Linked DNA regions of Saccharomyces cerevisiae S288C. The protein of the gene in region 1 interacts with the protein of each later gene in a biochemical or structural test. Each region holds a gene or a part of one and is shown in the gene's direction. Other genes may lie near its edges.

The links.
Region 2: of the proteins of UBC1 (region 1) and UBA1, one has a biochemical effect on the other in vitro, tested with the Saccharomyces cerevisiae proteins (5 studies listed by BioGRID, with this or other methods).
Region 3: the proteins of UBC1 (region 1) and APC11 form a complex in vitro, tested with the Saccharomyces cerevisiae proteins (3 studies listed by BioGRID).
Region 4: the proteins of UBC1 (region 1) and RSP5 form a complex in vitro, tested with the Saccharomyces cerevisiae proteins (10 studies listed by BioGRID).

Annotation. Positions count from the first base shown.
Region 1 is NC_001136.10:810,878-818,081, forward strand, and holds UBC1 (E2 ubiquitin-conjugating protein UBC1), read left to right. Parts: upstream 1-6,000; coding exon 6,001-6,648; downstream 6,649-7,204. Other genes in the region: ARG82 (inositol polyphosphate multikinase), read right to left, coding at 1-755; HMO1 (Hmo1p), read left to right, coding at 1,233-1,973; mitochondrial 37S ribosomal protein mS35 RSM24, read right to left, coding at 2,316-3,275; histone acetyltransferase NGG1, read left to right, coding at 3,575-5,683; succinate dehydrogenase membrane anchor subunit SDH4, read left to right, coding at 7,073-7,204.
Region 2 is NC_001143.9:35,537-45,480, forward strand, and holds UBA1 (E1 ubiquitin-activating protein UBA1), read left to right. Parts: upstream 1-3,626; coding exon 3,627-6,701; downstream 6,702-9,944. Other genes in the region: phosphatidylinositol-3-phosphatase SAC1, read left to right, coding at 1-878; TRP3 (bifunctional anthranilate synthase/indole-3-glycerol-phosphate synthase), read right to left, coding at 1,163-2,617; ATP-binding cassette a-factor transporter STE6, read right to left, coding at 6,887-9,944.
Region 3 is NC_001136.10:431,896-438,855, forward strand, and holds APC11 (anaphase promoting complex subunit 11), read left to right. Parts: upstream 1-1,601; coding exon 1,602-2,099; downstream 2,100-6,960. Other genes in the region: glutathione-disulfide reductase GRX6, read left to right, coding at 435-1,130; YDL009C (uncharacterized protein), read right to left, coding at 1,030-1,353; YDL007C-A (uncharacterized protein), read right to left, coding at 4,672-4,929; proteasome regulatory particle base subunit RPT2, read left to right, coding at 6,152-6,960. UniProt on the Saccharomyces cerevisiae protein: Probably catalytic subunit of the anaphase promoting complex/cyclosome (APC/C), a cell cycle-regulated E3 ubiquitin-protein ligase complex that controls progression through mitosis and the G1 phase of the cell cycle.
Region 4 is NC_001137.3:405,363-414,665, forward strand, and holds RSP5 (NEDD4 family E3 ubiquitin-protein ligase), read left to right. Parts: upstream 1-4,826; coding exon 4,827-7,256; downstream 7,257-9,303. Other genes in the region: casein kinase YCK3, read left to right, coding at 1-1,025; DSE1 (Dse1p), read right to left, coding at 1,980-3,701; rRNA-processing protein NSA2, read right to left, coding at 8,032-8,817; small subunit rRNA maturation protein LCP5, read left to right, coding at 9,119-9,303. UniProt on the Saccharomyces cerevisiae protein: E3 ubiquitin-protein ligase which accepts ubiquitin from an E2 ubiquitin-conjugating enzyme in the form of a thioester and then directly transfers the ubiquitin to targeted substrates.

The DNA of each region.
Region 1 (7,204 bases):
ACTTCTTCTTCTAGCATAGTATTATAAAACAACTGCAATCTTTTCAAAAATGTTTTCTTCAGTTGATGCTTTCTCGCATCCGACAGATGAGGATTGTTAAAATAAAGTTCAATTGCATCTGAAACATTTTGATCGGTTCTTGAACGACCATACAATTTGTTTATAAAGATATAATCACTGTCTGCTTCTTCTTCGTAATATTCGAGCGAAAGCTGATTCAGCACAGAGGGATTTTTCTGTATTTTCATGCCACATATCCTGAAACCCAAAGATCCTGAAGTCGTCGTCTCACTGACTCTTTTCATTCTCTCTCTTTTTTCCAATGATGCCTTCGAATCATACAAAGTTTTGCCTAATTTTATATCAAGTATATTAGGTTTACTAAATCCATATAGTAGATTTTCTAAAACGAGGTATTGCTTGGACTTCTCAGACTTTACAGGTATTGAATCAAGATTATCAGTGGAATCACTTAACCGCTCATCTATCTTCAGAAGCGCAGCATCGCCACTTTGCTCGATTTTTGCCCCTTCATTCAAGACTCCAAGATACGTGGGCATCCAAGAGCACAAGGGAGCATCTCCATCAGCCGAAGACTTTCTTCGACTCACATCTCTCACTTGTATGGCTTTGTAGAATTCCAGTTCCTGCGGAAAGGCCGGTTTAAAGATGAGCAATCCATCACCGTCTGTTAGAGTACCGTCGTGGCCAGCAGCTTTATGCTCTAAAACCCTATAATTGTTTACCGTATCCATGTGAAAAAAATTTCTACTTAGGCACACGTATGCACATATCCATGTAAGCTACTAATGGAAATTGTTTAACTGATTACTGGTAAAAAAGGGATCTCCAATGGCTTTATCTTATTCCATTTTGTCCCACCATTTGTATACAGTATAAAGACATTTTGGTGAGATACTTAGTTACCCAGCCTACTTCTGAGAAATATTACCCGACTCGATTATCTACCAATTGGCTTCGAGAACGTGGTTTTTCACCATTTTTTTTCCCGCTTTTTTTTTTCATCCGACCGTTGTGGCGGAGAGAAGCTTCCGGAAGGGAATTCACTCAGATTCTCTCCAGTACCACGGGGGGCAACTCTGCCTGGAACACTCTCTTCCTTCAAGAACTTAGCAAGAAGTACCAATTAGTCCCAGCGGGCCCTCAGGGCTGGTCTACTGCCTTATACTCTAGGATGTACATCCTACCACACACAACAAGCCTGTCACACCATGACTACAGATCCTTCTGTCAAATTGAAGTCCGCCAAAGACTCCCTCGTCTCCTCCCTCTTCGAGTTATCAAAAGCTGCTAATCAGACAGCCTCCTCTATTGTTGATTTCTACAATGCCATCGGCGACGATGAAGAAGAGAAGATAGAGGCTTTCACCACTTTGACTGAGTCTTTGCAAACATTGACTTCTGGTGTAAACCACTTGCACGGCATCAGCTCGGAGCTGGTTAACCCTATTGATGATGATAAAGATGCTATTATCGCTGCTCCAGTCAAGGCTGTAAGAAGAAAGATCGAACGTGATCCAAATGCTCCAAAGAAGCCACTGACTGTTTTCTTTGCTTACTCTGCGTACGTTCGTCAAGAACTTCGTGAAGACAGACAAAAGGCTGGCTTGCCACCTTTATCCTCAACTGAGATTACTCAAGAAATCTCCAAGAAATGGAAGGAATTGAGTGATAACGAAAAAGAAAAATGGAAGCAGGCTTACAACGTCGAGTTGGAGAATTACCAAAGAGAGAAATCCAAATACTTAGAAGCAAAGAAAAACGGTACCCTACCACCAGCTTCCTTGGAAAACGGTCCAACTCATGCGCCGGTTCCAATTCCTTTCAGTTTACAGCACGCCGCTGAACCTCCTGTGGAAAAGAGACCTCACGATGATGATGGATCTTCGGAAAAGAAGAAGAAGAAGAAGAAGAAGGATAAGAAGAAGGACAAATCCAACTCTTCTATTTGATGGACGGACAAACTCGTTACTATTACTCTACTGTCTTTCTAAAATAAATATAATAATAAAAAAAGGAATAAAATATAGCAGCATGGGCTTGCTTTGCCCATAGTGTATGCACATATATATATATATATATGTATCTATCCCTCTCCTCTTGTAACAGTATATCTTCCTTTTCATTTTCGTTGTGTATATGTATGTATATAGTTCTAAATTTGCGATTATACCTTTTCAAACCTCTCAATGTTGTATTGTGCTAAAACTATGTACATTTTAGAGAAAAAGAAGGAAGCAAAACAAATACATAATATATACAGGGGGGCCGTTCTTTTTGTTTTTGAACATGTATTAAAGAGTGCTCAATAATTGATCTACAATATCAAATTTCTTCTTTGGTGCATCTTCAGGGCGTTTCCAGTGTTCAGGAAACTCATAATCCCGCTTCTTTTTACGTAAACTCTTAGCTATAGTATGCCTTGTGTCAAGGGGAACATCGCTAAAATCGTCCTCCGTCAAATCTTTTGACTCCGCTAACAGCCTTTGAAGAATATCATGCAAATAACGTGCATTTTGTGATGCATGCTCAAATTTGTCACTAGACATTTTAAAAATATCTGTAGTATGATCATAACGCGACCTGGCTAATATTCTGAACTTATGTAATGATTTTTCCTCCAGGCCCAATTCCTTGGTTTTAACGCTTAATACAACCTTCCTCGAATTGGGATGCTCTTCGCCAACATAACTAGTGTATCTATAAGTGACCGGATGACTTTCTGGAGATGGTCTCTTGTATTCCTGGCGATATTGAGCTAATAGCGGTAACTCATATGCGGCTAATCGATTATAGAACCTTTGTTCACGATGTTGGGCAACCAATTCCTGAGCTTGCGATGGCAATTCATCAAACATAAACGGTCTAAGACTGTTATCGCGATTCACGTTTCCACCTTTTATATCAATAGCGCCTTGTTCTCCTCTGTGATATAGCTTTTTAATATCGTTAACAGGTACATTTGAGTACTCAGAAGTGGTTAATAAGGCATTCAGTTCGTCTTTGTTAGGTTTATACTCTGAACCCAATCTAGCCATTCTCTCCCAATATAACTCTAAAATTCTTTGAGGAGGTAAACCCTTCCATTTTTCGGGATGCATATAGAGATCTGCTGAAAAAGCTGGTCCTTCTCTCACAGTTTTAGCTTCATTACCAGCATCACTGTTCAAACATCTAGACATTGTCAAAACCCTTTTCTGGGTGCTCCACAAATTACCCCGAGAGACTTTCCATAACCCCAATGGTACTTTCATCTTCCTAAGAATAGTATTTTAGTAGTGTCAAATGTTTCGGTAACTCTACTGCCTTGTTCACAGATCGAAATATACTCAGAATCAGTTACAGAAAAGGTCCCATTTAGCGTAATTTCTTAGCGGAACTCATTAAAGAGCTCCGACGTGCAACGCGATAAAGGTTCGCCGACGACAACAAAACAATGGCAGGCAGTCATTAAATGAACGCCATCAAATGAAATATTCGTGGTAGCGATTACAATAAGGAAGTTGGAAAAACATAACAAAGACGGAGCGACGAGAAGTATTGGACAGGACATATGCCTAGACATGGAAGAAGAGGAAAACTGCCAAAAGGCGAGAAACTTCCTAAAAAGGAGGGAGGCGACAATACTCCGTCAAAGCTTTTATCGTCAATGCTTAAAACTTTAGATTTGACCTTCGAGCGTGATATTGGAATGCTCAATGGCAAAAGTGTTAGGTCCATACCCAATAAAAAAACTTTACTTGAATTGCAAAGTCAATTGGATAGTCTCAATGAAATACTGGGTACAATTGCCCGAGGTGATCAAGAGACCATTGAAGCGCTTCGGAAAATAAGAGACAGTAAAAATGAGAAGCAAGCAAACGATGAAAAGCAGGAAACTTCAAATGCAGACGGGCAGCACGAAAGTTCTACTGCTACTGAAGAAACGAATATAATTGATAAAGGGGTACAAAGCCCACCAAAACCTCCTCCTTCTAATGAAATCTCCGGCACAATTGAGAACGATGTAGAAAGCATCAAACAAGCGGCTGATAATATGGCTAAAGAAGAAATTAATGAAGACAAAGATTTACAAGTTCATAGAGATCAACCCAGAGAAAAGAGGCCGTTCGATTCTGAAACTGAAAATAGGGCCACTGAAAATGAAAACACACAGAGGCCAGACAATAAGAAGCAAAAAATTGACGTTGACAAAATGGAAAACGATCCAACTGTTAAAAATCCAAAATCAGAATTTGTAGTATCGCAAACGTTACCTCGAGCAGCAGCAGCACTCGGCTTATTCAATGAAGAGGGACTAGAAAGTACAGGAGAAGACTTCCTAAAAAAAAAATACAATGTAGCTAGTTATCCAACAAATGATTTGAAAGATCTGTTACCAGGTGAATTACCGGATATGGACTTTTCGCATCCTAAACCAACCAACCAAATTCAATTCAATACCTTTCTAGCATTTGTGGAAAATTTTTTCAAAGATCTTAGTGATGACAACTTAAAGTTTTTGAAGATGAAATATATTATACCCGATAGCTTGCAATTTGACAAAACTTATGACCCTGAGGTAAACCCGTTTATTATACCGAAACTAGGCCCTTTATACACAGATGTTTGGTTCAAAGATGAAAACGACAAAAATTCTGCCTATAAAAAACCTTCACCATATTCAAACGATGCATCTACTATACTACCAAAAAAAAGTGCCAACGAACTTGATGATAATGCTTTGGAATCGGGCAGTATATCGTGTGGGCCCTTATTATCTAGGCTGTTGAGTGCTGTATTAAAAGATGACAATGACAAATCAGAATTGCAATCTTCTAAAATAATACGGGATGGCGGACTACCGAGAACCGGAGGGGAAGACGATATACAATCGTTTAGAAACAACAACAATGATACTGTAGACATGACATTATCTCAGGAGAACGGGCCCAGTGTTCAAACACCTGACAATGACATTGATGAGGAAGCATCTTTCCAAGCAAAACTGGCAGAAAATAAAGGCAGTAATGGCGGTACTACAAGTACGTTACCCCAACAAATTGGGTGGATAACAAATGGAATTAACCTGGACTATCCAACATTCGAAGAACGATTGAAAAGAGAACTAAAGTATGTAGGGATATACATGAATTTGCCTAAGGATGAGAACAACCCTAACTCAGATGACCCCGATTGGGTCACCGGTAGAGAAGACGACGAAATAAGCGCAGAGTTAAGAGAATTGCAAGGCACTTTAAAACAAGTGACCAAGAAAAACCAAAAGAGGAAAGCCCAATTGATTCCACTAGTGGAAAGACAACTAGCATGGCAGGAATACTCATCTATTTTAGAAGATTTAGACAAACAAATCGACCAGGCTTATGTCAAACGTATTCGCGTACCCAAGAAAAGAAAGAAGCATCATACAGCAGCTTCAAATAATGTGAACACAGGAACCACGTCTCAAATAGCACAACAAAAGGCTGCAAACTCAAGTTTAAAATCCCTTCTGGATAAAAGGCAAAGGTGGATTAATAAGATTGGTCCATTGTTTGATAAACCTGAAATTATGAAGAGAATCCCCAATGAAAGCGTATTCAAGGACATGGACCAAGAAGAAGATGAGGATGAAGCCGATGTATTTGCACAAAACACTAATAAGGACGTGGAACTAAATTAAAATATACGAACTCTAAGGAAAAATACGTAGCATAATAACGCATATAACTAACAATTTGGATAACTATCCATAAAAAAAAAAAAATAGTCACATAATACGAACATTAATATCCTTTTTTGTTACATTTTCTTCCATCTGAAATATTTGGAGGGGCAAAAACAATGAGATGACAGTTGAATGCATGAACTTCCGATCGCGGGCGTATAGGTAAAGTCAATTGAAGCAAGTGTGACGACATAAGTATCGTAATTTAGTGGTTGGATACATTAAAAAAAACAAGTGGTATATATATAAGTAGTAGTAGTAAGAAGTAAGCGATGTCTAGGGCTAAGAGAATTATGAAAGAAATCCAAGCTGTGAAGGATGATCCTGCAGCTCACATTACTCTTGAATTTGTGAGTGAATCTGATATCCACCATTTAAAAGGCACATTTTTGGGCCCACCTGGAACACCTTACGAGGGTGGCAAATTTGTCGTGGATATCGAAGTACCTATGGAGTATCCATTCAAACCACCAAAGATGCAGTTCGACACAAAAGTATACCATCCAAATATATCATCAGTGACAGGTGCCATTTGTTTAGATATTCTTAAGAATGCATGGTCGCCAGTGATAACACTAAAGTCTGCATTGATTTCGCTACAGGCGCTACTACAATCTCCAGAGCCTAACGATCCTCAAGATGCAGAAGTAGCACAACACTATTTACGGGATAGAGAATCTTTTAATAAGACTGCTGCACTATGGACGAGGTTATACGCCAGTGAAACTTCCAATGGTCAAAAAGGCAATGTAGAGGAGTCTGATTTATATGGGATTGACCACGATCTGATTGACGAGTTTGAATCTCAAGGTTTTGAAAAGGACAAGATTGTGGAAGTGTTGAGACGATTAGGCGTCAAGTCCTTAGACCCCAATGACAACAACACAGCCAACCGTATCATCGAGGAATTGTTGAAGTGAATAGATAAAAAAAAAACGCACCAAGTAAGTAAGTAAATAAAGAATAAATAAACTATATGAGTAAAACACCAAGCGAGGATGTTTCATTGTGCATCCGTGTTCTTGATGATCACATAACTGTAAAAGAATAATACGGCACGTTAAATGTTATTTTAGAATATATAAACACCTTATGTGCCATAAGCATTGAGCCAATCGCTGCTGTTTTTTTTATTCCGGGGCACCTTCGGAAGAACACAGGCGCAATTTAGTTATATAAGGAGAAGCCCTCGAGCGATCAGGGGACCGACTGCGGATCGCTTTAAGGCAAAGATAGAAGGATAAATATCTGCTTTGGAAGATAGTCGTATCTAATTTCCCATTCTGTTGTTTTCTTGATCTTTCCTACGCTTTCGACTTTCTTCCTACGCGCTTTATAATAGCTATGATGTTGCCAAGATCCATGAAATTTATGACTGGAAGGAGAATTTTCCATACTGCCACAGTAAGGGCCTTCCAGTCTACCGCTAAGAAGAGCTTAACTATCCCATTTTTGCCCGTATTACCCCAGAAACCA
Region 2 (9,944 bases), on another chromosome or scaffold:
ACGTGTATTTTGACTTCCACCATGAATGTCGTAAGATGCAATGGCATAGAGTGAAATTGTTAATTGATCACCTGGAGAAATTAGGTTTATCTAACGAAGATTTCTTCCACAAGGTCATAGACTCTAATGGTAACACCGTTGAAATTGTTAATGAGCAACATTCCGTTGTAAGAACAAACTGTATGGATTGTTTGGACAGAACAAATGTCGTTCAATCTGTTTTAGCCCAGTGGGTTTTGCAAAAGGAGTTTGAAAGTGCCGATGTCGTTGCTACTGGAAGCACTTGGGAAGACAACGCTCCATTGTTAACTTCTTACCAAAACTTATGGGCTGATAATGCAGATGCAGTTAGTGTGGCATATTCGGGCACTGGAGCTTTGAAGACCGATTTCACAAGAACCGGTAAGCGTACACGTCTAGGTGCATTCAACGATTTTTTGAATTCAGCATCACGTTATTACCAGAACAATTGGACTGATGGTCCAAGACAGGATTCATACGATTTATTCCTTGGTGGATTTAGACCACATACCGCTTCTATCAAGTCGCCATTCCCCGACAGAAGACCAGTGTATATTCAGCTGATCCCAATGATCATTTGCGCAGCCTTGACCGTTTTAGGTGCTACGATATTTTTTCCTAAAGATAGATTTACCAGCAGTAAGAATTTGCTGTATTTTGCAGGTGCGTCGATTGTCTTGGCGCTTTCAACCAAATTCATGTTTAAGAACGGTATTCAGTTTGTCAACTGGCCTAAGTTAGTAGACGTTGGGTTCTTGGTCGTTCATCAAACGCATGATAAAGAACAACAATTCAAAGGTTTGAAATATGCACAGAGTCCTAAATTTTCCAAGCCGGATCCTTTAAAAAGAGATTAATGAGTTCTATATGTGATAAAATGATGATTATTGTAAATCCAAAACGTAAAACCGAAAATATGATAAAAACGAGAAAAAAAGTAAGTTAAAAAATAAAAAAATAAAAAAATGAACGCCGGCCCCAGAGGGAAGAACAAGCTATTTATTTTCTTTTTTACTTTATCTTTCATGGTCATATATATATATATATATATATATATATATCTTCTATAGGCTACTATACATGAAGGCGTTCGCCCTTACAACGTTAAGTTTTTTTCCCTATTGTACCGTGTAAGTTTCAATTATTCGCATAATTCATGAATGAACTTCTTCACATCGGTTGATTTCATTAGGGCTTCACCCACTAAAAATCCATGGACACCTTCTTTTTTGTATTTTTCAGCATCGTCCCTGGTGGTAATTCCCGATAGAGCAATTAGAAGAACATCCTTTGGAATAGATTCTACCAAGTTACTGGTGGTATTTAGGTCTACGTTGAATGAATGCAGGTCCCTATTATTGACACCTACAACTTTAGCACCAATTTCTAGAGCCCTTTGTAATTCCTCTTTGGAGTTCACCTCAACGAGAGGTTCCATGTTCAAATCTTTACTGTAGCTGTACAGTTCCTTCAATAAGGGTTGAGATAGCATCTTGACTATAAGAAGGACAGTGTCAGCTCCAGCTAATCTTGCTTCTAGTATTTGATACTTGCTGAAAATAAATTCTTTTCTCAAAACACAAGGCCTCTCCTTGGGAGGAAATTTCAAATCTAGGATTTTCCTCACATTTACTAAATCCTGTAACGAACCGTGAAACCAATGAGGTTCGGTCAATACGGAAATTGCGGATGCACCAGCCTCTGCGTATTTGAGAGCCTGTTCAGCAGCAACAGCTTTTAAACAAATGGGTCCCTTCGATGGAGAGGCACGCTTGACTTCAGCAAGAACAACGGCTCTTTTATGGGATGATGACAACACCGTGTAGAAATCCTGTAACGGTGGGGCAAGACCTAAATCATAGTTAGATTGTAAGTCTTGAAAGGTGAAACCTGGGATTTTAGACTGCTCATTGACGTCTATTTTACGCCGAGCATAGATACGGTCCAAAATAGAATTTGAAGGAGATGATTTGTTTTCCTCCCAAGTGCCTCCACTGACGTTTAAAATGTTCCTGATCATCAGATGACCTTCCTCGGTCAAGATGGATTCCGGATGAAATTGCACACCTTCTACAGTGTACTTCTTGTGTCTTACACCCATGATAATTCCATTTTCGGTACTCGCAGTAACCTTCAAGCAGGATGGTAGGGACGATTCTGTCCCGGCCAATGAATGGTATCTTGTCACAGCAATACCTTGCGGCACGTTCTTGAAAATTCCACAGTTGTCGTGAGAGATTGGGGACGTTTTACCGTGGACAATCTCACCAGCGTAGGCAACTTCACCACCAAATACGTCAAACATGCATTGCTGGCCCATACAGATTCCAAATACAGGAATTTTCCCAGTAAAGTACCGGATACAGTCTCTTGAAATGCCAGAATCTGTCTTTGGGTGGCCTGGTCCAGGCGAGATAAGCAATGTGTCGGGATTCAAGGCGGCAATTTCTGGAACTGTAATTGCATCGTTACGGTAGACGCTCACTTTGGCGCCCTCCTGGCACAAGTACTCGTAAACGTTCCAGGTAAAGGAATCGTAGTTGTCAATTAGAACCACATGCTTATTGATTGGGTTTGTTGCAGCGTGCACAGACATTTTTTTCTTACTTTTATGGCGTTCTATGTAGAACCAAACAGATTTGGTAATGTGTTAATACTGACCAGCTCCTTGTCGAACTTTTTGCGTACCTTAATATCTGCTATAGATTAGAATGAGTCAACGAGCCATTGATGATCATTCAATGATTACTACAAGAGGCATTTTCCGTCGTCAGTGATATGAATAGCACGGTGAGGTCCAGAAGAGATAGTAGGAAGTTTAATACTGGCTCAAAGGCATACTTATATCGACAAGCTAAGCGCAAATACTACTTTGTGGTACATCATCAGCATTGCTTTCGAGAAAACAGCATTTAAAATCAGCCATTTGCTGCGCTTTCTTTAAGCCCTAACAGAAAATAGTTCAAAAAGGCCTATAAGAAGCAAAAAAAGTGAAAAATACGAAAAAATACTCCAGCGGAGGAGTATAAAAGGGAGGAAAATACAAAATGTAGTTGTGTTGTTACGCATCTCAAAGAAGAAAGAAGAAGAAGAAGAAGAGGACGTCGCACTTGCAAGCAAAAACAGCGACTGGCGCGAGAACAACAAACACTAATGCATGTCTCTGTCCAGCAGGAAAAGCGAGCCTTAGTGTTTCTTATTTTCTCGTTCGCCTCACTAGTTTGTAGTAGGGTGGGAGAAACGATGGAGTGGATTGTATGATGAGGAACCAGATAGGGACAACAGATTCTCAAGTGACGAGGAACATCTTTTAAAGCCCAGTTTTTAGTAGAGCTTAGGGCGCCTTTACTGACTATCCACTCCTTGTTAAGCTATGATCTTGTATTCATGTGATTGTAAATAATATTAGAGCTCTTTCTTGAATTGCCATTACGCTTCCATGCGGCATATTCTCGTGTAGTGTGACAAAAGGTGCGGGTGGCAAATAAAGGTAAAAGAAAATGATCAAAAAGGGCCTTTAAGTAGGATGAGCAACCGCCAATCGCTGGATATAAGCAAACAAAAAGTAAGATTAGTAGCAAAGCAAAGAACATATAACTATAGCTATGAGCAGCAATAATAGTGGTCTCTCTGCCGCCGGAGAAATCGATGAAAGTCTTTATTCTCGTCAACTTTATGTGTTGGGTAAGGAAGCAATGTTGAAAATGCAAACCTCCAACGTATTAATTCTCGGCTTGAAGGGGCTAGGTGTTGAGATAGCGAAGAACGTTGTGTTGGCAGGTGTCAAATCTATGACCGTTTTTGACCCTGAGCCGGTTCAATTGGCAGACTTATCAACCCAATTCTTTTTGACCGAAAAGGATATTGGTCAAAAGAGAGGAGATGTGACCAGAGCCAAATTGGCAGAGTTGAACGCATATGTCCCGGTTAATGTGCTGGATTCCTTAGACGATGTTACCCAATTGAGTCAATTCCAGGTCGTTGTCGCTACGGACACTGTTTCTTTGGAAGATAAGGTGAAAATCAACGAATTTTGCCATTCCTCCGGTATTAGATTCATTTCCTCGGAGACAAGAGGGCTGTTTGGTAACACCTTCGTAGACCTAGGTGACGAGTTCACAGTGTTGGACCCAACGGGTGAAGAACCTCGCACTGGTATGGTTTCAGACATCGAGCCCGATGGAACAGTGACCATGCTAGATGATAACAGACACGGGTTGGAAGACGGAAATTTTGTCAGGTTCTCCGAAGTAGAAGGTCTTGATAAGTTGAATGATGGGACCCTTTTTAAAGTTGAGGTTTTGGGGCCCTTTGCATTCAGAATTGGTTCAGTCAAAGAATATGGCGAGTATAAGAAGGGCGGTATCTTCACCGAAGTCAAAGTACCCCGTAAAATCTCATTCAAGTCTTTGAAACAACAACTGTCCAATCCTGAGTTTGTTTTTTCGGATTTTGCTAAATTTGACAGAGCTGCTCAATTGCATTTGGGATTTCAGGCTTTACATCAGTTTGCCGTTAGACATAATGGTGAACTGCCAAGAACAATGAATGACGAAGACGCCAATGAATTAATCAAGTTGGTCACCGATTTGTCCGTTCAGCAACCGGAGGTTCTGGGTGAAGGTGTAGATGTTAATGAAGATTTAATCAAAGAGCTTTCCTATCAGGCAAGAGGTGACATACCGGGTGTCGTAGCATTTTTCGGTGGCCTTGTGGCACAAGAAGTGTTAAAAGCATGTTCTGGTAAATTTACTCCGCTAAAGCAATTTATGTACTTTGATTCCTTGGAATCATTGCCAGATCCTAAAAACTTCCCAAGAAATGAGAAGACTACTCAGCCAGTAAACTCTCGTTACGATAATCAAATCGCGGTTTTCGGTTTGGATTTTCAGAAAAAGATTGCCAATTCAAAGGTCTTTCTTGTCGGATCTGGTGCCATTGGTTGTGAGATGTTGAAAAATTGGGCACTTTTGGGGCTTGGTTCTGGCTCCGACGGTTACATCGTTGTTACGGATAACGATTCGATCGAAAAGTCCAACTTAAACCGTCAGTTCTTGTTTAGACCAAAGGATGTCGGAAAGAACAAATCTGAAGTAGCGGCAGAGGCCGTTTGTGCTATGAACCCCGATTTGAAGGGCAAGATAAATGCTAAAATTGATAAAGTGGGGCCAGAAACTGAGGAAATATTTAATGACTCCTTTTGGGAAAGCCTGGATTTTGTCACCAACGCTCTAGACAATGTCGACGCAAGAACATACGTAGATCGCCGTTGTGTGTTTTATAGAAAACCACTGTTAGAATCTGGTACCCTAGGTACTAAAGGTAATACTCAAGTCATCATTCCAAGATTGACTGAATCATACTCTTCTTCTAGAGACCCACCAGAAAAGTCTATCCCATTGTGTACCCTACGTTCTTTCCCAAACAAGATTGATCACACCATTGCCTGGGCCAAATCTCTTTTCCAAGGTTACTTCACTGATTCCGCCGAAAACGTTAATATGTACTTGACACAACCGAATTTCGTTGAGCAAACACTAAAGCAAAGCGGGGATGTCAAGGGAGTTCTAGAATCCATCTCAGATTCTCTATCTAGTAAACCACACAATTTTGAAGATTGTATCAAATGGGCAAGGTTAGAATTTGAAAAAAAATTCAACCATGATATCAAGCAGTTACTGTTCAACTTCCCCAAGGATGCCAAGACTTCCAACGGTGAACCATTTTGGTCCGGTGCTAAGCGTGCTCCAACACCATTAGAGTTTGATATTTACAATAACGATCACTTCCATTTTGTCGTAGCAGGTGCTAGTTTACGCGCTTATAATTATGGTATTAAAAGTGATGACTCTAATTCTAAACCCAACGTGGACGAGTATAAGTCCGTCATCGATCATATGATAATTCCAGAATTTACTCCAAATGCCAATTTGAAAATTCAAGTTAATGACGATGATCCGGATCCAAATGCCAACGCGGCTAATGGCTCAGATGAAATTGATCAGCTGGTATCATCCCTACCAGATCCTTCTACTTTGGCTGGCTTTAAACTGGAGCCTGTAGATTTCGAGAAAGACGATGACACTAATCATCATATTGAATTTATAACGGCTTGTTCTAACTGTAGAGCTCAAAACTACTTCATCGAAACTGCTGATCGCCAAAAGACCAAATTCATAGCTGGCCGTATTATTCCTGCCATCGCAACAACCACTTCTTTGGTTACTGGTTTGGTCAATTTGGAATTATATAAACTGATTGACAACAAGACAGATATTGAGCAATATAAGAATGGCTTTGTTAATTTAGCTTTGCCATTTTTCGGTTTTTCGGAACCAATTGCTTCACCAAAGGGAGAATATAACAACAAGAAATATGATAAAATTTGGGATAGATTTGATATCAAGGGAGATATTAAATTAAGTGATTTAATTGAACATTTTGAAAAAGATGAAGGGTTAGAAATAACAATGCTTTCTTATGGCGTTTCTCTTCTTTATGCCTCATTTTTCCCTCCAAAGAAATTGAAAGAAAGACTAAATCTACCAATAACTCAATTGGTTAAATTAGTGACTAAGAAAGATATTCCGGCACATGTATCTACAATGATTCTCGAAATTTGCGCAGATGACAAGGAAGGAGAGGATGTTGAAGTTCCTTTCATTACCATTCATCTATGAGTAACTAATTAACCAAAATAAAAAAATAAATTAAATATATACATTAAATATGTATATATATATGTATGACTTTTGACAACTTTTTCTTTGGTAAAAACTTATTATTATTATTATTATTATTATTATTAATGTAGTCTCGAATATTTGAGTATGTTTTAGTTTTTTGTTTTATATTTTCTTTGGGTTTAACTGCTTTGGTTGGAAACAATTTGGAATAATTCCCCGCGATTATTATATAAAGTGTCGAAGTTACCTCGCTCAACCACTTTACCATCTTTAAGAACTGCAATCGAGTTACAAGACCTCATCATTTGTTCACTATGCGTTATAACCATTGTTAGTAGAGCAGGTGGACCTTTTTTGACGATCTCATTGATGATAGAGGAGCTGACAGAATCCAAGGCTGAAGTACACTCATCTAAAATCAGAATTTTTGATTTTCTCAGAAGTGCTCTGGCTATGCAAAGCCTTTGCGCTTGTCCACCTGACAGTAAAGTTGTATCAATACGTGTATCCAAGCCCTGAGGTGATGAAATTACAAAGTCATGGATTCCTACGTATTTTAATGCATCATACATTTCAATTTCAAGTATTTCATCTTGTAAACCATAAGTTAGGTTATCTCTGATGGTTCCATTGAATAATAAAGGTTTTTGCTCAACCACTGAAATTTCTTTTCTTAAACTTGTCAAATTCCAGTCATTTACGTCCGTACCGTCTATTTTAATTTTGCCTACTTCACAATTATAAAGTTTTGTTAATAAAAGCACAAGTGTAGACTTTCCTGTGCCTGATTCACCAATGATACCTAACGTCTGTCCGCAAAACATGTCAAAATTCATGTTTTTGTAAACAAAGGCGGTAGGTGCAGATGGATAGGCAAATGTCAAATTTTGAATTGAAACGATTGGTTTTTTTTCTTTGCCATGGTAGGTGTGACCAGCTATTCCCACTGTTCTAGCATTATTGTTTTCAACCTCTAGGGTATTATGCTTTTCATCAAGAATCCTATAGATCCAACTGGCAGCACGTTGGCCTCTACTTATATCGGGTATCTGACTTACTAGGCTAGTGCATGACATAATAGTGAATAATAACAAAGTGAAAGTCGTAAACATTTCCTTTGAGGTGTACTCGTGAATCATAACCAGCTTTAGGCCATAGTAGTAAATAATAGCTTGGATACACATGACAATCATGTTTGTCATAGATATACCAAATCCTGTGGCAATGGCGCGTTTGGAGGCAATTTGTTGCATTTTTATCTTCAAGTCATGGTAGGTCAATTGAAAATGAAATTCAGCTTGTAAGCACTTAATGGTTTTAATGTTAGTGACAATCTGGTACAGGCAGTTTTCTAACTGAGCAACAGATGTCTTATAATCTGTTTCGCATTTTTGTAAAATGCCTCCATATATTGCTGAAAATATAATTATGAGTGGAAACATCGAAATACAAACCAAACTTAACTTCCAGCCCGATACTAACGCCCAAATTAGTCCAATCGTTGATACGGTAACGAAACTAGTCATTGCACTCAAAAATTCAGAGACCAAAGACCTCAAATCTCGCAAATCATTCAAGACTAGAGCAGAAATTTCAGAAGCCTTGTTGTTTTCACCAGAAAACCAGTCCATATTCTTTCTCGTCAGTTTTTCCATAACTTCATTTCTAAGATCCATAACCCAGTATTCACTGCAGCAATCTAATAGGAATCCTTTAGCAAAATTGAAAATACCATCTGCCGCAGCCACACCAAGAACAAGAAGCGACCATTTCGCCAAATAATGTGAAGAGCCAGTTTTTCCATCCGTGGATGGGACAATTCCTTCTAGTAAGAAACTGAATGTGTATGAAAAGACGGGATTTGTGGCGCCTGCGATAAGAGAACATAGCAGTCCCAAGATTAGAATTTTTTTGTATCTTATGCTTTTAATCATTCTTTTGATAATCTGAATAATGCTCAGAAGTTGTGGCCCTGTTGAACTTTCGGTGTTCTTTTGTTGTTTTAGTGCATACCCAATATTTTCCTCTTCAACTTTAACCCTTCTTGTTCTAACGTTCGATCTTTTTTGATAGATTGCTTCGTAAAAGGACAACTGATCTGTCTCATCATATCCCAGATTACTTAAGCATGATCCAAGTTTTGGTGTTTCCAATTGAGAGTTAAAACTTTCCACAGTGTGTATAGATTTTTCTTCAGTCTCTGTATCTACAATAGTTTTCGCATCAGAGTAGTCATTCTGTAGGTGATACCATGTGCTAAATGTAGTGGTCGGATCGGCTAGAAGTTCAGACTGGGTGCCGCTTTCAACAACTTCACCTTCCTTCATTAAATATAAATAGTCATCAGATTCAATTTGGCTCAACTCATGCGTCAATATGATTGTAGTCTTTCCTTTCCTCCAATGCCTAATTGCCTTCATCAACAGGTTGCGATGAACAATATCTAGAGCCGATACAGCTTCGTCTAAGAATAATATTGGAGTATCTCTGATGAATGCACGTGCTATAGCAACTCTTTGTTGTTGCCCGCCACTTAGTGTGACACCCCCAGTCCCAATTAATGTTTCCAGTCCATCGGGAAGGTCTAGAATAAATCTATCCAGAAGAGCCATTTGACAGGCATCTTTGATTAAATGTCTATTTTCATTGGTGCTGCAATCGGCATTTCTTACCGAATCTGTTGAACCTAAAAGAATATTTTTTCTAAGAGTATCATTAAATAGGGTACAACGCTGTTCTACGACGGTGATATTTTCAATTAGCAATTTTTGGTCGATTGTTTGGATATTGTGGCCATTGATAGATATCGATCCATTATAGCCATCGTAGAACCTTAATAATAAGTTGGATAATGTAGATTTACCTGAGCCTGATTTTCCTACTATGAAAGTAAATTGTCCTGCAGAGAAATTTAAACTAACGTTCTTTAAAACTGCTTCCGAAGGTCTGCTTGGATAAGAAAACGAAACATTAGCAAATGTTAGATCACTGGTGGCATAATCTAGTGGAAATTGGTGGGCTACAGTTTTATTTAAAGGATTTCGCTTGGATCCATCTTTTAATAGAGTCATGATTTTTTCCATAGCCACTCCGCCTTTTTGAAGAACAACTATTTGGTGTAATGTATTATTTAAAGTCGAGCCCAGCATAATGCATGAATGGAAGCAAGTGATTACATCGTTAATGTTCAGCTTGCCCTTTTTGATCATTGCGGAACCAAACCAGAATCCCTGTACA
Region 3 (6,960 bases), 380 kb from region 1:
AATCTACTTGCAGCATGAATGAAAATAGTAAGCCAGTAAGGATGCACTGACAGACTCAGCTACCGATTAGTGTTGTTGACTTTTCCGCAAGATCCTTTTCTCCCTCTTTGGACCTAGTCATCCCTCCACACAAGATTCGCTCTTAAGTAGTGGCGCAGGCTGTTCGCTTTTAAGCATAGTGCTTAATGTCGAAGGCTTTATAGATCCCAAATACTACGCCTTGAGAAATTGAATGCACTAGCAGTTAGTTAACTTTCTGGAACGCGCATGACGCGTCCCGGGGCGCCTGAGGCGGAGCGTTCGCGAAATCGGGAAAACATTATACTGGGAAAGATCACTATCTATTCTCTAAATGAACTTTTAAGCAAATTATCGTAAGATAGAAAAGACGAAACCTTAGCAACCTAGCGGTTTAATATAGAAACAATTTTATTATGATACCTTCCAATAAGAGAAATGCTAGAATTTTAAGCATTACAACGCTATTATTGTTGTTAGTGTTTTTCGTAGCGCAAAATGCGAACTTCTTGACGGTAGAGATAAAAGAGGAAACTTCTAAAGCATTTAGTACTAATATGGACAATATGGCTGGAGGATCTTCCAGGGAATATGCTGCTATGCCGACTTCTACCACGAATAAGGGGAGCTCTGAAGTAGACGAAGAAATTAATGAAATAAAACAGAAGGTGGGACTCCAACAGCCCATAGCATCGGTTGATGATAGTTTGTCGGCCATTAAAAACGATAAAGGGTCGCGAATAACCAAAGCTTTTAATGTTCAAAAAGAATACTCCCTCATACTAGACTTGTCTCCGATTATAATATTTAGTAAAAGCACCTGTTCATATAGCAAGGGCATGAAGGAACTGCTTGAAAATGAGTATCAGTTTATCCCAAACTACTATATTATAGAACTTGACAAACATGGACATGGGGAAGAGCTGCAAGAATATATCAAGTTGGTGACCGGTAGAGGAACTGTTCCAAACCTTTTGGTTAATGGAGTATCAAGAGGAGGTAATGAAGAAATCAAGAAACTGCACACTCAAGGGAAACTTTTAGAATCATTACAAGTCTGGAGTGATGGTAAATTCTCGGTTGAGCAACGTGAAAAACCTTCCAATAATTGAAATTGTTACAAAAAGGAAAGAAGAAAAAATTAAGAATAAATATATAAATAAAGAGGTCGTGAATGATTAGGTCGTGAAATGCAGTGTAGTTGGAAAGGCGTAGTTTTCCTAGCACAAGGCGTTTCGGAGTTGGAATAAAGAAGCTATCACCAACGAAGAAGCTTTTTTGTCCAAGACATCTCTTAAAAGGGTTGTGAAAACATAAAACGCTTAATGCCTTCATATATACATATATAAGTTTATGGTTTCGATGTTTACAATAACTTCTATCCTTTGCTGGTCCATGCACTTCACCTTGGTAAGTTATGCAACGCACTTTTGTCTACGCCTGCATTCGATATAAAGGGTAAGCTGCCGAGATAACTTTTGTATCTTCCGTGTCTGCAGATAAAAAAATAATGCATTCTTCAAAAACTTTGTACAATATCGGGAGAGTTTAACAAGCAAAGTGGCAATACAGATTATAAAAATATGAAAGTTAAAATAAACGAAGTGCACAGTGTGTTTGCTTGGTCATGGCACATCCCTAGCACATCTGATGAGGACGCAGCCAATAACGATCCAATTGGCAATGATGAAGACGAGGATGTCTGTGGTATCTGTCGTGCCAGTTATAACGGTACCTGTCCAAGCTGTAAATTTCCAGGCGATCAATGCCCTTTAGTGATTGGGCTATGTCATCATAACTTCCATGATCATTGTATATACCGTTGGCTTGATACACCAACCTCAAAAGGACTGTGTCCGATGTGTAGGCAAACTTTCCAGCTACAGAAGGGTCTAGCAATTAATGACGCTCATGTCCAAAAGTTCGTTGAAATAGTTTCAAGAAGAAGAGAAGAAATGATAGAGGAGGGCGTCGCAGAAGAGTTTGTGGACTTTGATGAACCAATAAGGCAAAACACCGATAACCCAATCGGTAGACAGCAAGTTGATACCATCCTGGACGAAGACTTTTTGTTACGATAAAAAAGAAACTTAGAAATCACAATTAGCTATATTTCCATACGGTTCTTTTCTTGTGAACGCTGTTAACATTCTGTATACTTAAATGAAAATTTAATATTGATTTTTTCTTGTTGCAGCTAAAGATAAAAAAATTTTCTTTTCCAATCGTTGAATAGATGTACTGTAGCCGGAACTGAAGTTAAGGTTGTTAGATTGAAAAAGAACAACAGTGTACTAATCATGCTAACGATGACAGCGGTATCGTTGCATACTTAGAATACATAAAAATATGCTTCCAATCGGATTTGAACCGATGATCTCCACATTACTAGTGTGGCGCCTTACCAACTTGGCCATAGAAGCTTCTGATTTGTGTTCATTTGATTGTAAGTTAGAGTATTTCAAGCTCTAACTCAATTATGTGAACTTTCATAAAATTGTGTTATTTTTGAGAAATATGTGAGTTGTTAGATAATTGTTGGGATTCCATTGTTGCTAAAGGCTATAATATTGGTATACAGAATATACTAGAAGTTCTCCTCGAGGATATAGGAATCCACAAAAGGGAATCGATAGTTCTACATAATGTTATTATTTTATCTTCTTTCCTTTTATGCGTTGTCATTCATTATCCTATTACATTATCAATCCTTGCATTTCAGCTTCCATTAGATCGGATGACTGTTTCTCAATCTTTATGTCATCTTCTTACACCGCATGTGATAATATAATATTAAATAGATGATATTAGAGTTCAATTCCAACAATTTTCATTCTAGATAGCGGGAATATTACTGGGTATTCAGTATATCACAACGTCTCTTACAAGATAGAGGATACTACAAGAGGGAAGCAAGAATCATACATGGTAATGTTGTTTTTTCTTCCCCACATTTTTTGTTATCATTCGTTATTTATTATATTTTCAATGCTTGCATTTGCAGCTTCCATCTCATCTGATGACTGTTTCTCAATTCTTATAGTGTGTTATCATGTACGGTATTAGATGATGACATAAGGTTATGAGAAATTGTCGTCGAAGTTAAAGGAAGCTGTATTCTGTATACATAATACTATAGAATTTACAAACAGTGGAATTGCAACAATTATCAAATTATTCACCTAATAATCACCTTTAACATTCAGGGAGGTTTATTTTTGCTTCCGAAATTTTTACAGTCTACAGGGAAGAAATAAATATTTAGTTGAGAAAGTTTTGTTTATTTGTAAGTTATTAATTTGAAAAATAAATACCATAACTAGCGCAAAGCTTATAAAAGAGATGTTTGTTGAAAAATGCAGAAACCCCATATATAAAACCATGAAATGTCACAATGGACATGATGTACATTCTTGGAGATAACATCATATTCGAAATATTCAATATGCCCAATTGGTACCTGTTCTCCATACCCCATTATATGATACAAATGATCTGCCCCTATTCTAACACTGTGCTAGCAACATAGCAATTATACTAAATTTTTTCAGTCACTATGCAATACATGTAATCTCTCAACTACCAAGCAGTCATTATTCTATTAATATATATTTGTGCTTGGAAGTATTGTTTCACTTCTCAGAGGCCTTTCTTGACATGTTATAGTTTTTTAGGTACCTTCTAATCCTGTAAATTTATACAAAAATTGGTATATAATGGCTACCTCCGGAAATTTTAACAACTTTTGGGTCACACTATTACTGTGTATACTTCCTTTAGAGATCTCAAGCATTACTGAAAGATAACCTGAGGAAAAACATAGCGCGTCTACGGATGTGTAATACTCGCTGGATTTCCTGGTAAAAACTACTGTACATTTATCAGCTGCCTCTGCCAATGCTATTGAGAACCGTAGGTTCATTAGAATTACTTCATTCAACGGAAAACGTCACTATACCTGCCGCTTGTGTGTCGCGTCAGTAACGCCTTGACAGAAAAAGAAAGAAAAGAATATGACCGACCGATCGATGTATTATTATTATTGAACTGATTATAAAAAATTGGAACGTCGTAGAATCAGAAATCATAAGACAATGGCCAACTATGCCAAATCACACATCAATATTTAACCGAGATAGCAAAAGAAAATAAATTTCGATTATTTTTAAAATGTAACTGACAGTTTTTGGCACTTGTGGACTTCCTCTTTCCGGCAGATAGCAAAACCAACGGTAGAATGGCCCCGAAATTTAAATTTTATTTCATTGTGTGCTTGAGCGTGGCCTTTTTTTTTTTTTTTTTACATATCACAAACAATTCACACATTACCACACATACCATAAGCTAACGTATGCGGTGCAAAGTTCACTATTAGGCGCTTAAAGGCTTGGAACGAAATGACTTCTGGCTTTTGTTTCCTATACACATTCTTAGCAAAACTTTTGGTGTTGTAACAAGCAATGAGATAGAGAAAGAAATATATCCATCAATGGAAGAAATAGGCAGACGTCGGTAATTTTATTCTATTGAAAATATGCAAAAGTGACAGTATAAATTGAAGTAACTAATTTTACATCTAGTAAGCTGCTGTTGAAGAATTGAATAGTATCGCAGTATTTATTTTGTATACCCTTAGAATACACATACTTGGTGTTAGAAGCCATCTAATACACTATATAACTCGGGGATTAAATCATCTTGGAAGAGCGAATCTAGTTCAGGATCGCCTGTCGTAAAGTTCGAGGATAAGGACATCGAATTTAGTAGTAGTCCTAATGACTCGATGTTATTGTCTAAAATTTGTTCAATTTCTTTTCCTGATTTATCATCGTCTTCTTGAATAGGTAAACAGTAATATTTACCAAAGTTCAGGAGGGTTAGGATGGTGTGAAAAATTATAGGAAGGAACATCAAGAAAGTGCTTGAAATATTTTTCTTGGATTATGGAAGTATCAAGAACGATATTATTTCAATAATGTGATGGTTTATATCTTTGCATACAATAGATTTTGTGATACTTTTTTTATGTAATGGTCCCGTAACCCCGTCGCTCTTTCCCTTTTAATTTTGCCCGATCCACTTTCTATGCCGGTAGTTTAGCCGCCAAGTGCTATTTTCAAACGAATCAATAGTAGCGGCTGCAACTTTGAAAAAGAAAGAAACAAAATTATGCGCTAGTTTTCCATTTCTTGTATTCTTTTTTCTTTTGCGGTGGTAATTACGGGAATTTAGTGATGTTGGAACGAGAGTAATTAATAGTGACATGAGTTGCTATGGTAACAATCTAATGCTTACACCGTATATTAATGTACACCTCGTATACGTTTAAGTGTGATTGCACCTATTGCAGAAGGAATGTTAAACGAGAAGCTCAGACAATACTGAAGCTGTGCTAAAGATCTATTAATTGAACATGATATGGTAGGTACATATATGAGGAATATGAGTCGTCACATCAATGTATAGTAACTACCGGAATCACTATTATATTGGTCATGATTAATATGACCAATCGGCGTGTGTTTTATATACCTCTCTTATTTAGTATAAGAAGATCAATACTTATTTCTTCATTAATACTATTTTTTACCTCTAACTATCAACAAGTGATAATTGTTGGAATTCCATTGTTAATAAAGGCAATAATATTATGTATACAGAATACAGCTTCCTCTAACTTCTATGACAGTTTCTCATACCTTATGTCATCATCTAACATTGTACATTATAATATACTCGTAGTAAGACTACTAGTTGAGAGAGAATAGTTGATTTTTATTCTAACAAATAATATTCCAGCAGGTTTACATATTCCTAGGTTTGGGATATATCTTAAGTCAATAATTCATCATTAGTAAGGCAACTTGGCCGAGTGGTTAAGGCGAAAGATTAGAAATCTTTTGGGCTTTGCCCGCGCAGGTTCGAGTCCTGCAGTTGTCGTCATTTTTATATTCCCAATATTTTTATCACTCCGGGTAACGAGTTATTAACGGTTTTTCTCCGGTGGCAAATGTCTCTTTTCTTTTACCTAAAAGAAGGTTAATGTGAATATTAGTGAATATGATGCGTATCAGTGTCAAGCTTACAGTCAATTCAAGTTAAAGAAGAGACAGCGTTTTTAATAGAAAATAAAATGGGACAAGGTGTATCATCTGGACAAGACAAAAAGAAGAAGAAGGGATCTAATCAGAAACCCAAATATGAACCTCCCGTTCAATCTAAATTTGGTCGTAAGAAAAGAAAGGGAGGTCCAGCTACTGCTGAAAAATTACCCAACATATATCCAAGTACTCGTTGTAAGTTAAAGCTTCTAAGGATGGAACGAATTAAAGACCATTTGTTATTAGAAGAAGAATTTGTCTCTAACTCTGAAATTTTAAAACCCTTTGAAAAGAAGCAGGAGGAGGAAAAGAAACAATTGGAAGAAATACGTGGAAATCCATTGAGCATTGGGACCCTTGAAGAAATTATAGACGATGATCATGCGATAGTGACAAGTCCAACTATGCCTGATTATTATGTATCTATCTTATCCTTTGTCGATAAAGAGTTACTAGAGCCTGGATGTTCTGTGTTATTGCATCATAAAACCATGTCCATCGTAGGTGTTTTACAGGATGACGCCGATCCAATGGTTTCGGTCATGAAAATGGATAAGTCGCCAACAGAATCATACAGTGATATTGGTGGCTTAGAATCTCAAATTCAAGAAATAAAAGAGTCTGTAGAGTTACCGTTAACACACCCCGAACTGTATGAAGAGATGGGTATCAAACCTCCCAAGGGTGTGATTCTTTATGGTGCACCCGGTACAGGTAAGACATTGCTAGCAAAGGCTGTTGCAAATCAAACATCTGCCACATTCTTAAGGATTGTTGGCTCAGAGTTAATTCAAAAATATTTGGGGGATGGTCCTAGGTTGTGTAGGCAAATTTTCAAAGT
Region 4 (9,303 bases), on another chromosome or scaffold:
TAATATACATGGTTGACTTTGGTATGGCAAAACAATATAGAGATCCAAGAACGAAACAACATATACCATACCGTGAACGAAAATCATTGAGCGGTACCGCCAGATATATGTCTATTAATACTCATTTTGGAAGAGAACAGTCACGTAGGGATGATTTAGAATCGCTAGGTCACGTTTTTTTTTATTTCTTGAGGGGATCCTTGCCATGGCAAGGTTTGAAAGCACCAAACAACAAACTGAAGTATGAAAAGATTGGTATGACTAAACAGAAATTGAATCCTGATGATCTTTTATTGAATAATGCTATTCCTTATCAGTTTGCCACATATTTAAAATATGCACGTTCCTTGAAGTTCGACGAAGATCCGGATTATGACTATTTAATCTCGTTAATGGATGACGCTTTGAGATTAAACGACTTAAAGGATGATGGACACTATGACTGGATGGATTTGAATGGTGGTAAAGGCTGGAATATCAAGATTAATAGAAGAGCTAACTTGCATGGTTACGGAAATCCAAATCCAAGAGTCAATGGCAATACTGCAAGAAACAATGTGAATACGAATTCAAAGACACGAAATACAACGCCAGTTGCGACACCTAAGCAACAAGCTCAAAACAGTTATAACAAGGACAATTCGAAATCCAGAATTTCTTCGAACCCGCAGAGCTTTACTAAACAACAACACGTCTTGAAAAAAATCGAACCCAATAGTAAATATATTCCTGAAACACATTCAAATCTTCAACGGCCAATTAAAAGTCAAAGTCAAACGTACGACTCCATCAGTCATACACAAAATTCACCATTTGTACCATATTCAAGTTCTAAAGCTAACCCTAAAAGAAGTAATAATGAGCACAACTTACCAAACCACTACACAAACCTTGCAAATAAGAATATCAATTATCAAAGTCAACGAAATTACGAACAAGAAAATGATGCTTATTCTGATGACGAGAATGATACATTTTGTTCTAAAATATACAAATATTGTTGTTGCTGTTTTTGTTGCTGTTGATAAAGCGATTTTTATACTTTTCTCTTTTTCCTTTTTTTTTTTGATTGGCTGTTTCCTTATGCCGCTCTTTCCCAATTTATGACTTTCCAATAATGTATTATTTTGTTTCTCTTTCTCTCTGTTACCCTTTATTTTATCATCTACAATAATTGAATTCCGGAGAGGGTAAAGAAACAGGAAAAAGAAGAAAATGAGACATAGTCAGCATCGTAATCGTTTTCCTTCTGTATATTCCTTTATCAAAAGACTACACGCACATATATATTAATCCCGGTATGTTTTTGGTGTGCTAAATCTATCTTCAAGCACTATTATAGCATTTTTTTAAGAATATCCAAAATAATATGTAATTTATGATTAATCAAGGTTCAAGAATTGGAGAAACCGTGAGCGACTTCTTTGATACTTGGATGTAAGCTTTTATTTAGTTGCTTTTTCGTTTTCTTTTATTTACGCCCTTGTTTTGCGTGTATACTTTACTTTTCTAATTCACTTGAGAGCGGGACTATATATAAAAAAATGCACAATTACAAACTTGAGAATGAATGCATATCGTGAAGATTTTGATATTAAATTAAGAAGCCAAAAAAACGTAGGCAACCATAACAAATTTCGGCATTGAACTTGATTCTAAATGCTACATACAATTACGCGCGCTGTTTTGATATACACACACATATATATATATATACATTGTGTAAGAAAAATTCAAAGCTTAGTAAAACATACAGATCATGGAGAAAAAAAAAAAACCGAATACTTGTGTTACCAGAAGGATCCACTGACTGGACTTGGGTCACAATTTGAATTTTATTGATTTTCACCTTCATCAAGGAGGATGGTCGTTAGTAATAAAGGGCATTCTGAGTGACAGACAAAGAAATTATCTTCAAAGAAATGTTACTTTGATTCATTGATATGTTATTTGTTTTTATTTGAAAGCACTCAAGGAAACTAGACAACAGTAGTATCAATAGTAGATCCACTTAAATGCACATCATTTACAGAATACATCCTCTTTGTGAAGACGATATCCTCTTGGTCATCATTCAATCTACCTTCGCTAACAGTATTTGCTGAAGAACAATCCCAATTACCAGAATTTGAGAACATATCATCAGATGTTTCTGTCATACTATGGTCACTCTCATTGGATAATGATAACATAGAAGAATCAGATATTCCACTCTTCCCAGTACCATTACCATCGATTATTTTACCGGTATCGACATTGAATTGAACTTGACAAATTTGATGTAATCCCAGTTCACAAAAATTGTCAAGAGTTACTAAACTTCCATCGTTTGCCATATCAAGGAATAAAAATCCACATCCTTTTCCATTGGCCTTAGTGTCATTGCTCTTCAAGCAAATATTTTTATCACTCATACCACTCACAATAATGTTTCCACATTGGAAGACTTGCTTGGTTAATAGTAGTTCACTTTCACTATCTAGGCTAATTGAGTTAAATCCATGGACTAACTCACCATATTTCATGTTTTGTAGGTTTTGTAAATCCCAACAAATGACAAAGCCTTGGTCATCACTGCTATATAACGCGCCTGTGTTTTCGTTAAATTTTAGACTTTCAATGTATCCTTTCTTAGCATATAATTCACAAACTGGTTTACCGTCGCAGGATTGAATGTCCCAAATTTGAATTTTATCGTTCAAGCTCTGTGCAACGTGATGATTACTTATCCATACGCAATCCAAACTTGTGTTCTTTCTTTGCAAATGGTCTTTTCCACATCCTGCAGATATGCTATTATCTAAAATATCTGGAATATAGAGATTTGTTCTCAAATCAAGCAGCGAGATGCCATTTGGTCCAAATTTTGAGCCAACTAAGGCCAGTAAGAAGGGATCATGGAATTCATTAACGGCAAAAGAATTTATACCTGGATATGATTGCAAAAAAATAGGTGTTTTTATGCAATCAAGATTTGATTTCAAGTCATATATAAAGAGGGAGTCATTTAGAAGGGAAACAAAACCGGTCTTGTTCCATGGCGAAACCTTCAAAATAGGTGCTGTTTTTGGCGTTATTTCCAGAATCGGAATCGACGTTGATACGGTAGATTTTAGAAACTTGTTGTGGTTAAACCTTTTTATTATTTTAGCACATCCCTTATATGTTGAAGTTGCTATCAGATTGACTATACCGTCTTGATGACCTGTCAATATTAATTGGTTGTGGTTAGGATTTATTTGAGAGCTGGGGAAAATCTGTGGCGGAAAATCTACCATGGGCAATAAGCAGATACAAGTAATGGGTTTACCGGGAACAGTAATCGTCTGTAGTTCCTTCAGCTTTTTCTCAGCGGAAATTTCAAAAAGTTTCAAGTTGTCTTTCTCGTTCATTGTAGATACTAGAAGTATATTATCCACAATGGACATGTCTGAAGGTATGGATAACTCACTTTCATCAACACCGTACAGTTTCCAATAATCTGATTTTAATTTTTTAGTTGTATAATAGTCATTGAAGTTGTCTGATGCTTTTCGCAAAATCGGTGAATTCATTTTCGAAGTATTGTTTTGCCACGTTTTTTTGTATGTGGATAAAGTCATCATCGATTGTAAAATCCTCTTTTTATCTGATCTCTTCTTTATATTAATAGCAGGCTGACGAAAAATATTTGTTGGTTCGTAGTATTTGGTATCTTGCATAATATTAATACGTGTCACTCTCACTATCACACCTACAATCAAATTTTTTAGCAAACACAGATTAAAATTTGGAAGTCATGCAAGAAGAAGAAGCCAAAAGATAGTTTGAGGAAAGCTTGGGAGAGATATTTCTACCTTTTTATATATTGTAAAACGTTTACGCACTTATTTATGTAAACCAGTAAGCACCCACCCAGCTATGTCGTCATGACTACAAATTGGTTATGAACCAAGCCTTATTCAGTAAACCAGCAAATTTAACATCATGCCGGCATTGAATCATACATAGAAATCAACACAATAGCTTTGAGAACTGAGAATGTAGCTTTGACGCTGCTATTATTATTTGGTATTGTTTACCTTTTAATGTTTATTTGTTTAGAAAACAGACTGCTGGTTTGTTTACATTTGAGAGCAGAAAAAAAAAATTGCTGGCGCAGACCAGCCGCACAGTCACGTGACAGTATACGATCATGTGATCTTACGTACATAATGACATTATACGAGAAAGGGGAAAAAACAAAAATTTAGTGGAAATTTTTGGTAAAGACCAAATTGCAGTGATCTTCATGGTGAAAGGTAATATTTTTTGCTGGCGGGGGAGGGGGCTTCTATCTCGACAATTAAAAGACATACGCTTAACCATTTTTAGGGTACTCGAGTATCGCATCTGCTAATTGATAAAAGGACTTTGTTGTGTTTTGAGGCTGTTTTCCATTTTCTTCGTTAGAGCTACAAGAGTCGACTTTTTCGTTAAACAAAAACGATTATAAGATAATAAGCGCTGTCAGTTTTTTCCACAGTTTTGGACTTGTTACTATAATTCGTGAAGCACATTTTGCAAGTGAGTCAAAATTTCAGTTCAGTCCTTCTTTAGAAGAGTGAGTGCGTAGCAAATAAAACAGCAGGAAATAATTGCTTGTTTTTGTGTGTAAGTACCTTTTAGTTGGAACTACCGAATATAGTGTTATTCGACTTTCACTTTCATAAGCCACAGCTTTTTCTTAGTGCGTTTTTAGTTCGATAAATTTACCAAAAACTATTTTCCCCTTTTCTTATTCCCTTTTCTTTGTTAGCTTGGGTATTATATTTAAAGTAACAGAAAGGAAAGAAAAAAGAAAAAAAATGCCTTCATCCATATCCGTCAAGTTAGTGGCTGCAGAGTCATTATATAAGAGGGACGTATTCCGTTCCCCGGATCCGTTTGCTGTTCTGACTATTGATGGTTACCAAACCAAATCTACATCCGCAGCGAAGAAAACGTTAAATCCCTACTGGAATGAGACTTTCAAATTCGACGATATCAATGAAAATTCTATTTTAACCATCCAAGTCTTTGATCAAAAGAAATTTAAAAAGAAGGATCAAGGGTTTCTTGGCGTGGTTAACGTCCGCGTGGGTGATGTTTTGGGCCATTTGGATGAAGATACTGCTACATCGAGTGGTAGACCTCGCGAAGAAACTATTACTCGTGATTTAAAAAAATCTAATGACGGAATGGCCGTCAGCGGTAGGTTGATTGTTGTTTTATCAAAACTACCTTCGTCAAGTCCGCATTCACAAGCTCCTTCTGGCCATACTGCATCTTCTAGTACGAATACAAGTTCAACTACTCGAACAAATGGTCATTCTACTTCCTCCACCCGTAATCATTCAACGTCTCATCCTTCCAGAGGCACCGCGCAAGCAGTAGAATCAACTCTTCAAAGCGGTACAACAGCTGCTACTAATACGGCAACAACCAGTCACCGTTCCACCAATTCCACATCCAGTGCTACCAGACAATACTCTTCGTTTGAAGACCAGTATGGTCGTTTACCCCCTGGTTGGGAGAGAAGGACCGATAACTTTGGTCGTACATATTACGTCGATCATAACACAAGGACTACCACTTGGAAACGTCCAACGCTCGATCAAACAGAAGCCGAACGTGGCAACCAATTAAATGCAAATACTGAGTTAGAGAGAAGGCAGCATAGGGGAAGAACTTTACCTGGTGGATCATCAGATAATTCCTCTGTAACAGTTCAAGTGGGAGGTGGTTCCAATATACCTCCTGTTAATGGTGCAGCAGCAGCAGCGTTTGCAGCTACAGGTGGTACCACATCTGGTTTAGGCGAATTACCTTCAGGCTGGGAGCAGCGATTTACTCCAGAAGGAAGAGCTTATTTCGTTGACCATAATACTAGAACAACCACTTGGGTGGATCCAAGGAGACAACAGTATATACGTACTTATGGCCCTACAAATACCACCATTCAGCAACAACCGGTCTCCCAATTAGGTCCTTTGCCTTCTGGATGGGAAATGAGATTGACCAATACGGCACGTGTATATTTCGTTGACCACAATACAAAAACAACGACCTGGGATGACCCAAGACTTCCATCATCGCTAGACCAAAATGTTCCACAATACAAGCGTGACTTCAGACGTAAGGTTATTTATTTCAGGTCCCAGCCCGCTCTTAGAATATTGCCGGGACAATGTCATATTAAAGTACGTAGAAAGAACATTTTTGAGGATGCTTATCAAGAAATTATGAGACAAACCCCAGAAGATTTAAAGAAAAGATTAATGATCAAGTTTGATGGTGAGGAAGGTTTAGATTACGGTGGTGTTTCCAGAGAATTTTTCTTTTTATTATCACATGAGATGTTTAATCCATTTTATTGTTTGTTTGAATATTCTGCGTATGACAACTATACCATTCAAATAAATCCTAACAGTGGCATCAACCCCGAACATTTGAACTATTTCAAATTCATTGGTAGAGTTGTGGGTCTTGGTGTTTTCCATAGAAGATTTTTGGATGCATTCTTTGTAGGTGCACTTTACAAAATGATGCTACGTAAAAAAGTCGTATTGCAAGATATGGAAGGTGTTGACGCAGAGGTGTATAACTCATTAAACTGGATGCTTGAGAATAGTATAGATGGTGTCTTGGATCTGACGTTCAGTGCCGACGATGAAAGATTCGGTGAAGTTGTAACAGTGGATTTGAAGCCAGATGGGAGAAATATTGAAGTTACTGATGGTAATAAGAAAGAATATGTCGAATTATATACCCAATGGAGAATTGTTGATAGAGTTCAAGAACAATTTAAGGCATTCATGGATGGTTTTAACGAATTAATCCCCGAAGACTTAGTAACTGTGTTTGATGAGCGTGAACTAGAACTATTGATCGGTGGTATTGCGGAAATTGACATTGAAGATTGGAAGAAACACACTGATTATCGTGGTTACCAAGAGTCAGACGAGGTCATTCAATGGTTTTGGAAGTGTGTCAGTGAATGGGATAATGAACAAAGAGCCCGTTTATTGCAGTTCACCACTGGTACTTCTCGTATACCTGTCAACGGGTTTAAAGATTTGCAAGGCTCTGATGGTCCAAGAAGATTCACTATTGAAAAAGCTGGTGAAGTACAACAATTGCCAAAATCTCACACATGTTTTAACAGAGTTGATTTGCCACAATACGTTGATTATGACAGCATGAAACAGAAGCTAACATTGGCCGTGGAAGAAACCATAGGGTTTGGTCAAGAATGATTATTCCGCACCAATTTTTTTTTTATTTATGGTGTCCGTTTTCCCAACATTCTTTCTGCCTCAATCATCTTGTTTTATATTTCAGCTAACAATAGTAAAGAGAAAACTCTTTTTTGTTAATTTTATCTGAGTTGCTCATGAAATGATTAATCATTGTTGTTTTTACAGCAACATGGAAAGCAGCAAAGAAAATGCAGGAAAACGTGAAGTGCTTTTTTTGATGATTACGCAAAGTTCTTTTCAAGTTCGCCATAAGAGGAGGTTTTCCTTTTCAAAAGGAGCATGATACCAATAATTTATATTGCCTTACGCCTCTTATTTTTTATATCCTCTTTTTAGATTTTATTAATTTTTTTTTTTATTTATATACATATAATGTGCCCTGCTTTTTACAACCATACGTTTTTTGTTTTTTAATTTTCTTGCATTTTAAAACTGAATAGTGACCTGGGTATTATACTACAGTTGAAATTGCTCTCGTGAGGTACATACTTGAAACGAGCGTACTAGGCAATCCCTCTCTTGCCAGTCACCTACACACGGAGAGTATCGGTTATTTGTCGTGAGGAAAAAAGAACCGGATAATAAATTCTTGATTTGTTATATTGTACAGAGAATGACGAGAAGTAAAAAGAGAAACCCGAACAGGACAGAGCGTACATTTTTTATATACCTGTTCTTTTGTGCTTGTAGACGTATATCGTATTATTAAATTAAAAGTAAACCTAATTTGAACCATCGAGATAAAAAAAAAAAAAACGGAGCACTTTTTTGCTCATACAAGCAAAACCGCATTGACACAGCCGTCTCTGTCTGGTTCGTTTGTGACCTGAGCATACTTACCCCAGACAACTTTACCACCAGCAGTAACCATCCCCAATTCCGAAACGTTAACTTCAATAATGGTACCTTTAGTCAAAACACCTAACTGAGTGTACATTGGAGATTGTGGATTCTTCTTAACTGCCAAAATTGGCAAGAAGACAGTTACACCTAATTCCGGATGAGTGACGTTTGCCTTTTTCTGTCTCAACGCACTTGGTCTGATGATTCTTTCCATTTTAACTGGTCTTCTAGTGAAACCTTCACCCACAAAAGTGTGTTTCGTTATCATTCTCTTCCATGACTTGGATCTAGATTTACCTGTTTTAATAACTTTGAACATTTCTTCTTCACTTATACCACGAACCTTTGGTAACGGAACTGAAAACTTATCAGCTTTTTCCAACCTCTTTTGTTTGATCGATGAAGAAATAGCTTTGGCTGTGTTATTTTGTTCTCTGTCCAATAGATATGTCGGCAAAGCATCACCATCGGTATCCAATGGTTTGGATGAACCCTTGACCTTAGATTGTTCATGTGCCTTAATCTTCTTTCTCATTGATACCTTTTCAGCATATCTCTTCTTAGCAAATTGCTTACCCTTCCAACCAGTCAACTTCTGGGCCCGTTCAGAAATCTTATGAGACTCTCTTGCCTCTCTCTTACGTTTCCTTTCTTCGTGATCTAATCTTTTACCATGCTGTTTGATGTGACGCTCGATATAATCGTTTTGAGGCATTGTTTCGTTGTATATATCAGTATTGATACGAGACTGACTACTGACTAAAGATAAAAACGCCAGATACGAAAACCAAGTTCTTCTCTAACTGATACCTAATCCATTCAATTGTCTTAAAAGTGCATCTCATCGCTGTCCGGAAAATTTTTCATCGGATTGTTACTAGAACCGTTGCCGACGACATAAAATTTTTTACGCCTTTCCTGCAAGGTTGAAGAAAAGAAACCGATGAGCTATACCATTCTAAAGTGTCAAAAGAGATGAAGAAATTAAAATTGTCAACTAACACACAAATCCAAGAATGTCTGAACTTAATGCATTATTAAAAGATATCAACGGCTCGCTCACTGCGACATCAGAATCCTTGGAGAGGTTGTCTGGGATTTATAGTAATTCTGCGACCGATGAGATTCCTGAAAGTAACCAACTACATGAGCATCTATTTTACGACGCTAAGAAGCCTGCTGAGAAAGTATCGCTGCTATC